2 linked regions of the Pelodiscus sinensis genome follow. Each later gene encodes a partner of the first gene's protein in a complex. Links are inferred from orthologs where the notes say so. Each region holds a gene or a part of one and is shown in the gene's direction. Other genes may lie near its edges.

Evidence for each region.
Region 2: the proteins of CCKBR (region 1) and GNAI2 are in contact, whole or in part, in a cryo-EM structure (PDB 7F8V), measured with the Homo sapiens proteins. The link is inferred for Pelodiscus sinensis from reciprocal best matches to the Homo sapiens genes CCKBR and GNAI2. Residues at the interface, in NP_795344.1 of Homo sapiens: Thr87, Thr89, Arg152, Ala155, Ile156, Pro159, Leu160, Ala162, Arg163, Val164, Thr167, Ser169, Ile241, Gly248, Leu249, Lys328, Val331, Leu335, His394, Arg396; in NP_002061.1 of Homo sapiens: Glu28, Ala31, Arg32, Glu33, Val34, Lys193, Leu195, Thr220, Phe337, Thr341, Asp342, Ile344, Ile345, Asn348, Leu349, Lys350, Asp351, Cys352, Gly353, Leu354, Phe355.

What each region holds. Positions count from the first base shown.
Region 1 is NW_027466003.1:150,218-154,112, reverse strand, and holds the start of CCKBR (gastrin/cholecystokinin type B receptor), read left to right. Parts: upstream 1-1,721; 5' UTR 1,722-1,864; coding exon 1,865-2,012; intron 2,013-3,895. UniProt on the Homo sapiens protein: Receptor for gastrin and cholecystokinin. The CCK-B receptors occur throughout the central nervous system where they modulate anxiety, analgesia, arousal, and neuroleptic activity.
Region 2 is NC_134721.1:45,350,922-45,354,816, forward strand, and holds the start of GNAI2 (guanine nucleotide-binding protein G(i) subunit alpha-2), read left to right. Parts: upstream 1-945; 5' UTR 946-1,006; coding exon 1,007-1,124; intron 1,125-3,895. UniProt on the Homo sapiens protein: Guanine nucleotide-binding proteins (G proteins) are involved as modulators or transducers in various transmembrane signaling systems.

The sequences.
Region 1 (3,895 bases):
ACCGCCGGTCACCCGGACGCCTGGGTTCTGTGCCTGGCCACAGCCGGACACCTGGACGCCTGGGTTCTGTGCCTGGCCACCGCCGGACACCCGGACGCCTGGGTTCTGTGCCTGGCCACGGCCGGACGCTTGGGTTCTGTGCCTGGCCACCGCCGGACGCTTGGGTTCTGTGCCTGGCCACAGCCGGACGCCCGGACGCCTGGGTTCTGTGCCTGGCCACCGCCGGACGCCCGGACGCCTGGGTTCTGTGCCTGGCCACAGCCGGACGCCCGGACGCCTGGGTTCTGTGCCTGGCCACAGCCGGACGCCCGGACGCCTGGGTTCAGTGTCTGGCCACAGCCGGACACCCGGACGCCTGGGTTCTGTGCCTGGCCACCGCCGGACACCCGGACGCCTGGGTTCTGTGCCTCGCCACGGCCGGACGCTTGGGTTCTGTGCCTGGCCACCGCCGGACGCTTGGGTTCTGTGCCTGGCCACAGCCGGACGCCCGGACGCCTGGGTTCTGTGCCTGGCCACAGCCGGACGCCCGGACGCCTGGGTTCTGTGCCTGGCCACAGCCGGACGCCCGGACGCCTGGGTTCTGTGTCTGGCCACCGCCGGACGCCCAGACGCCTGGGTTCTGTGCCTGGCCACAGCCGGACGCCCGGACGCCTGGGTTCTGTGTCTGGCCACAGCCGGACGCCCGGACGCCTGGGTTCTGTGCCTGGCCATGGCCGGACGCTTGGGTTCTGTGCCTGGCCACAGCCGGGCGCCCAGACGCCTGGGTTCTGTGCCTGGCCACGGCCGGATGCCCGGACGCCCGGACGCCTGGGTTCTGTGCCTGGCCACGGACAGATGCCCGGACGCCTGGGTTCTCTGCCTGGCCACCGCCGGACGCCCGGACGCCTGGGTTCTGTGCCTGGCCACCGCCGGATACCCGGACGCCTGGGTTCTGTGTCTGGCCACCGCCGGACCCCCGGACGCCTGGGTTCTGTGCCTGGCCACCGCCGGACCCCCGGACGCTTGGGTTCTGTTCCTGGCCAAGGTCGGGAGCCCGGACGCCTGGGTTCTGTTCCTGGCCACCGCCGGACGCCCGGACGCCTGGGTTCTGTGCCTGGCCACGGCCGGATGCCCGGACGCCTGGGTTCTGTGCCTGGCCACCGCCGGACCCCCGGACGCTTGGGTTCTGTTCCTGGCCAAGGTCGGGAGCCCGGACGCCTGGGTTCTGTGCCTGGCCACCCCCGGGCGCCCGGACGCCTGGGTTCTGTGCCTGGCCACAGCCGGACGCCCAGACGCCTGGGTTCTGTGCCTGGCCACGGCCGGGCGCCCGGACGCCTGGGTTCTGTGCCTGGCCAAGGTCGGGCGCCCGGACGCCTGGGTTCTGTGCCTGGCCACCGCTGGACGCCCAGACGCCTGGGTTCTGTGCCTGGCCACAGCCGGACACCTGGGTTCTGTGCCTGGCCACCGCCGGACGCCCGGACGCCTGGGTTCTGTGCCTGGCCACCGCCGGACACCTGGGTTCTGTGCCTGGCCACCGCCGGACGCCTGGGTTCTGTGCCTGGCCACGGCGGGTGCCCCTCCCAGAGTGCTGATCCCTTGGCCTGTGACCCCAGGCCGCCTTCAGCCTGGGGGTGTCGGGCCAGCGCCCTGGGAAGGCGCCGTGTTCGTCTCCCCAGCTGGGCCGGCGCCCCGCGCTCTCGACCCGCATCCCCCGCTCCCAGCGCCGCGTCGGGCCGGGCAGGGGGCGCTGTTCGCTCGCGGATCCGCGGCGGGGCCGGTCCGGCTCAGTCGGTGCCGGCGCTGGAGCCGAGCGGAGGTTCCCAGGGAGGCTCCTCCGGAGCGGGGACCTCGGGGCCGCCCGGGGAGCCGCCCCGAGGCGCCGGCGATGGGCGCGGCCGGAGCCCTGGACCCGCGGCGCGCGAACGAGACGCTGCAGCGGCTGCTGTGCGCGGGGGGGCCCGGCAACGCGTCCGCCTGGAACCGGAGCGTCTGTGACCCGCTGCGGGGCCCGCCCGGGGCCCCGGGCCCCCCAGGTGAGACCCGGCCGCGCCGCGCCGCCATCCGGCCCGAAGGGACCGGCCCGGCCCGGGGCCAGGCTCCCGGGTCCCGCGTTGGGAGCGGGGGGGTAATTCCAGAGCCCCCGCTGCGGCCGGTACCGGGCGCCCCCAGGCCGAGCCCGCAGCTGCCCCCTTGCTCGGCTCACAGCCTGTCCCGCCCCGGCCCATGTGCCATGTGCCCCATACTGCCCAGCGCTGGGGACTCGGCGCTCGCCTACGCCGGGGGGTGCCTGGCCGGGGGTCGCATCCCAGAGGCCCTGTGCCCCGCCCCCCAGGTCTGGGGCGGGCACCCTTGGACGCTGGGCCAGGAGCTGCCTGAGAAATGCACAGGGGGGGGGTTGGGGTATTACCGCTCCCGACCCTCACCCCCGCCCCCCAGACCCTGCCCCCCAGCCCTGCCGGTGCCCCTCACCCCCGCCCCGCAGACCCTGCCCCCCAGCCCTGCCGGTGCCCCTCACCCCCGCCCCGCAGACCCTGCCCCCCAGCCCTGCGGGTGCCCCTCACCCCCGCCCCCCAGACTCTGCCCCCCAGCCCTGCGGGTGCCCCTCACCCCCGCCCCCCAGACTCTGCCCCCAGCCCTGCGGGTGCCCCTCACCCCCGCCCCCCAGACTCTGCCCCCCAGCCCTGCGGGTGCCCCTCACCCCCGCCCCCCAGACTCTGCCCCCAGCCCTGCGGGTGCCCCTCACCCCCGCCCCCCAGACTCTGCCCCCCAGCCCTGCCGGTGCCCCTCACCCCCGCCCCGCAGACCCCGCCCCCCAGCCCTGCCGGTGCCCCTCACCCCCGCCCCGCAGACCCTGCCCCCCAGCCCTGCGGGTGCCCCTCACCCCCGCCCCCCAGACTCTGCCCCCCAGCCCTGCCGGTGCCCCTCACCCCCGCCCCGCAGACCCTGCCCCCCAGCCCTGCGGGTGCCCCTCACCCCCGCCCCCCAGACTCTGCCCCCCAGCCCTGCGGGTGCCCCTCACCCCCGCCCCCCAGACTCTGCCCCCAGCCCTGCGGGTGCCCCTCACCCCCCCCAACAGACTCTGCCCCCCAGCCCTGCCGGTGCCCCTCACCCCCGCCCCGCAGACCCTGCCCCCCAGCCCTGCCGGTGCCCCTCACCCCCGCCCCCCAGACTCTGCCCCCCAGCCCTGCGGGTGCCCCTCACCCCCGCCCCCCAGGCTCTGCCTCCCAGCCCTGCCGGTGCCCCTCACCCCCGCCCCCCAGACCCTGCCCCCCAGCCCTGCGGGTGCCCCTCACTCCCGCCCCCCAGACCCTGCCCCCCAGCCCTGCCGGTGCCCCTCACTCCCGCCCCCCAGCCCCTGCCCCCAGCCCTGCGGGTGCCCCTCACTCCCGCCCCCCAGACCCTGCCCCCAGCCCTGCCGGTGCCCCTCACTCCCGCCCCCCATACCCTGCCCCCCAGCCCTGCCGGTGCCCCTCACTCCCGCCCCCCAGACCCTGCCCCCCAGCCCTGTCGGTGCCCCTCACTCCCGCCCCCCAGACCCTGCCCCCAGCCCTGCCGGTGCCCCTCACTCCCGCCCCCCAGACCCTGCCCCCCAGCCCTGTCGGTGCCCCTCACTCCCGCCCCCCAGACCCTGCCCCCAGCCCTGCCGGTGCCCCTCACTCCCGCCCCCCAGACCCTGCCCCCCAGCCCTGCCGGTGCCTCTCACTCCCGCCCCCCAGCCCCTGCCCCCAGCCCTGCCGGTGCCCCTCACTCCCGCCCCCCAGCCCCTGCCCCCAGCCCTGCCGGTGCCCCTCACTCCCGCCCCCCAGACCCTGCCCCCAGCCCTGCAGGTGCCCCTCACTCCCGCCCCCCAGCCCCTGCCCCCAGCCCTGCCGGTGCCCCTCACTCCCGCCCCGCAGACCCTGCCCCCAGCCCTGCC
Region 2 (3,895 bases), on another chromosome or scaffold:
GTCCCTCCAGAGCCTCTGAGCAGCCCGCTGGGCCGCCCGTCTCTCCCTGTGGAATCAGCCCTTGCTTCCAGCCGCTGGGAGCTCAGCCTCAGGCCCCGGCAGGTTTTCGTTCAGCCCCAGCGCCTGGAGTCAGGTGCTGCATGAGAGCGTTCACCATCACCAAAGGAAGTTTCTAGTTGTCGGGTTTGTGGGGAAAGTGCGAGTCAGTGGTTCAAAATCCACAAGGCAACTAAGAAACCCCACGTGTGTTAAACCAGTCCTGACAGTCTATGGCTGGGGACTGAGGACATTGTAAGTGCAACCCGGCCTCCCCGCTCGCTGCACCCCAACCCCCCACAGAGAGCCCCCTGCTGCACCCCAACTCCCCACAGAGAACCCCCCGCTCGCTGCACCCCAACCCCCCACAGAGACCCCTGCTGCACCCCAACCCCCCACAGAGAGACCCCTGCTGCACCCCAACCCCCCACAGAGAGACCCCCGCTCGCTGCACCCCAACCCCCTACAGAGACCCCCGCTCGCTGCACCCCAACCCCCTACAGAGACCCCCGCTCGCTGCACCCCAACCCCCCACAGAGAGCCCCCTGCTGCACCCCAACCCCCCACAGAGAACCCCCCGCTCGCTGCACCCCAACCCCCCAGAGAGAGACCCCCGCTCGCTGCACCCCAACCCCCCACAGAGAGCCCCCTGCTGCACCCCAACCCCCCACAGAGAACCCCCCGCTCGCTGCACCCCAACCCCCCACAGAGAACCCCCCGCTCGCTGCACCCCAACCCCCCACAGAGAACCCCCCGCTCGCTGCACCCCAACCCCCCACAGAGAGACCCCCGCTCGCTGCACCCCAACCCCCTACATGGAGTCACTTTGCCCCGCCCCGCCCCGCCCACCAGAAGCGCCCAGACGGCCCCGCCCCGCCCCTGGCCCCGCCCCCGGCTCGGCCCCGCCCCGGCAGGGCTCGGCGCGGGGCGGGCGCGGGCGGGCGGCGGAGCAGAGCTGAGCGGCCCCGCCATGGGCTGCACCGTGAGCGCCGAGGACAAGGCGGCGGCCGAGCGCTCCAAGATGATCGACAAGAACCTGCGCGAGGACGGCGAGAAGGCGGCGCGGGAGGTCAAGCTGCTGCTGCTGGGTGAGCGCCCGCCCGGCCCCCCGCCTGGGGCCCCCCCCGCCCCGGCATCGCCCCCCCGCCCGGTGCCCCCCGCCCCGGCATCGCCCCCCCGCCTGGTGCCCCCCGCCCCGGCATCGCCCCCCCCCCGCCCGGCATCGCCCCCCCGCCTGGTACCCCCCCGCCCCGGCATCGCCCCCCCCGCCTAGTGCCCCCCCGCCCGGCCCCCCCCGCCCCGGCATCGCCCCCCCGCCTGGTGCCCCCCCGCCCGGCCCCCCCCGCCCCGGCATCGCCCCCCCCCGCCTAGTGCCCCCCCCGCCCCGGCATCGCCCCCCCGCCTGGTGCCCCCCCGCCCCGGCATCGCCCCCCCCGCCTAGTGCCCCCCCGCCCCGGCATCGCCCCCCCGCCTGGTACCCCCCCGCCCCGGCATCGCCCCCCCCCGCCTAGTGCCCCCCCGCCCCGGCATCGCCCCCCCGCCTGGTGCCCCCCCGCCCGGCCCCCCCGCCCGGTGCCCCCCGCCCGGCCCCCCCCGCCCCGGCATCGCCCCCCCGCCTGGTACCCCCCCCGCCCGGCCCCCCCCGCCCCGGCATCGCCCCCCCCGCCTAGTGCCCCCCCGCGCGGCCCCCCCCGCCCCGACATCGCCCCCCCGCCTGGTGCCCCCCCGCCCCAGCATCGCTCCCCCCCGCCTAGTGCCCCCCCGCCCGGCCCCCCCCCGCCCCGGCATCGCGCCCCCCCACCCGGCCCCCCTCCGCCCCGGCATCGCCCCCCCGCCTAGTACCCCCCCGCCCGGGCATCGCCCCCCCCGCCTAGTGCCCCCCCGCCCGGCCCCCCCCCCCGCCCCGGCATCACCCCCCCCCGCCTAGTGCCCCCCTGCTGGGCCCCCCCCCGCCCCGGCATCAGCCCCCCGCCTGGTACCCCCCCCGCCCCAGCATCGCCCCCCCCCGCCTGGTACCCCCCCGCCCCAGCATCGCCCCCCCCGCCTGGTGCCCCCTGCCCCGGCATCGCCCCCCCCGCCTAGTGCTCCCCCGCCCGGCCCCCCCGCCCCGGCATCGCCCCCCCGCCTGGTACCCCCCCGCCTAGTGCCCCCCCGCCCGGCCCCCCGCCTGGTACCCCCCCACCCCGGCATCACCCCCCCGCCCCAGCATCGCCCCCCCCACCTGGTGCCCCCCTGTCCCGGCATGGCCCCCCCCACCTGGTACCCCCCCGGCATGGCCCCCCCCGCCTGGTACCCCCCCTCCGGCATCGCCCCTCCCACCTGGTACCCCTCCGGCATCGCCCCTCCCACCTAGTACCCCCCAGCATCGCCCCCCGGCCCGGCATCGCCCCACCCGAACTCCCCCCCCCCGCATCGCCCCCCCCGCCTAGTAACCCCTCCCCCGGCATCAGCCCCTCGCCCCAGCATCGCCCCCCCCGCCTAGTACCCCTCCGGCTTCATCCCCCCCCTCCCGCCCCGGCATCGCCCCTCCCGCCTGCTACCCCCCCAGCCGGTGCCCCCCCTGCCTGATAACCCCTCCTGCCCCGGCATCGCCCCCCGCCCGCCCCCCCCCCCCCCGCCTGGTACCCACCCCGGCACACCCCCGCCTGGTACCCGCCCCGGCCTGGTACCTCCCCCCCACCCCGGCATCGTGACCCCCCCCCGCCCCGGCATTCCCCCGCCTGATAATCCCTCAGCCGGTGCCCCCCCTCCTGGTACCCCACCCGCCTGGTGCCCCCCAATCGGTACCCCCCCCCGTGCCCGCCCCGGCATCTCCTGCTTGGTGCCCCCCCCGTCCTCCCCGGCATCCCCCCGCCCGGTGCCCCTCCTCGCCCGTCCCGGGTGGTACCCCCCACCGCCCCAGAACCCCCTGCCAGATACCCCCCCCCCCCGGTGCCCTCCACCTGGTACCCCCCCCACCCCGGCAGCCCCTGGCCGCCCTGCCTGGTACCCCGCTCCCCAGCATCCGCCCCGCCCAGTACCCCTCCCTCCAGTCCGGTACCCCCCCGCCCCAGCATCCCCCCCTGCCTGGCATCCCCCCTGCCCAGTACCCCTTCTTCCAGTCTGGTACACCCCCTCCCGGCATCCCCCCTGCCCGGTACCCCACCCCGGCATCCCCCCCCCCGCCCAGTACCACCCCCTCCGTTTGCCCTGGCATCCCTTCCCGCCCCTCCTCCAGACCGGTACCCCCCCTCCTTGTCTGCCCCGGCATTCCTCCTCCCCTTTCCCAGTCTGGTACGCTCCCTGCCCCTTCCCCAGTCCGGTACCCCATCTCCCCAGCATCACCCCCCTCCCCGGGTCCAGTACCCCCCCATCTGCCCCTCCCCCAGTCCAGTATCTGCCCCAGCATCCCTTGCCCTGGTATCCCTCCCCAAGTCCGGTAACCACTCCCCCCCCTCCGGTCCAGTATCCCTCCCACGCCTGGCCTGGCATCCCTCTGCCAGGTACGGTATGGCTCTGCCCAGTCCAGTCCGCCTGCCATCCCCGCACCCCGTCCGGTCTGCCCTGCTCCACCATCCCCCACCTGCTCCAGCCTGGTATCCCCACACCGTCTGGTCTGCCATCTCTCTCCAGCCCCCCACCCTGCCACCCCCCTCCCTGCCTGGCCTAGGTGAGCCCTGCACCCTGGCTGCGCCGCCTGGCTTCTAGCACCCTCCAAGATGAACCCCCCAGCCCAGCCTCTCCCGAGTTCCCTGCCTGACTGGGGTACATCCCAGCATCCCCAAGGCTCCCAGAGACCTGCCCCCCAACACTCAAGTGCTCCAGCCCACCCAGTCACCCTGTGAGAGCCTGCACCCCTCAGGACCCCCAAATGCCCCCC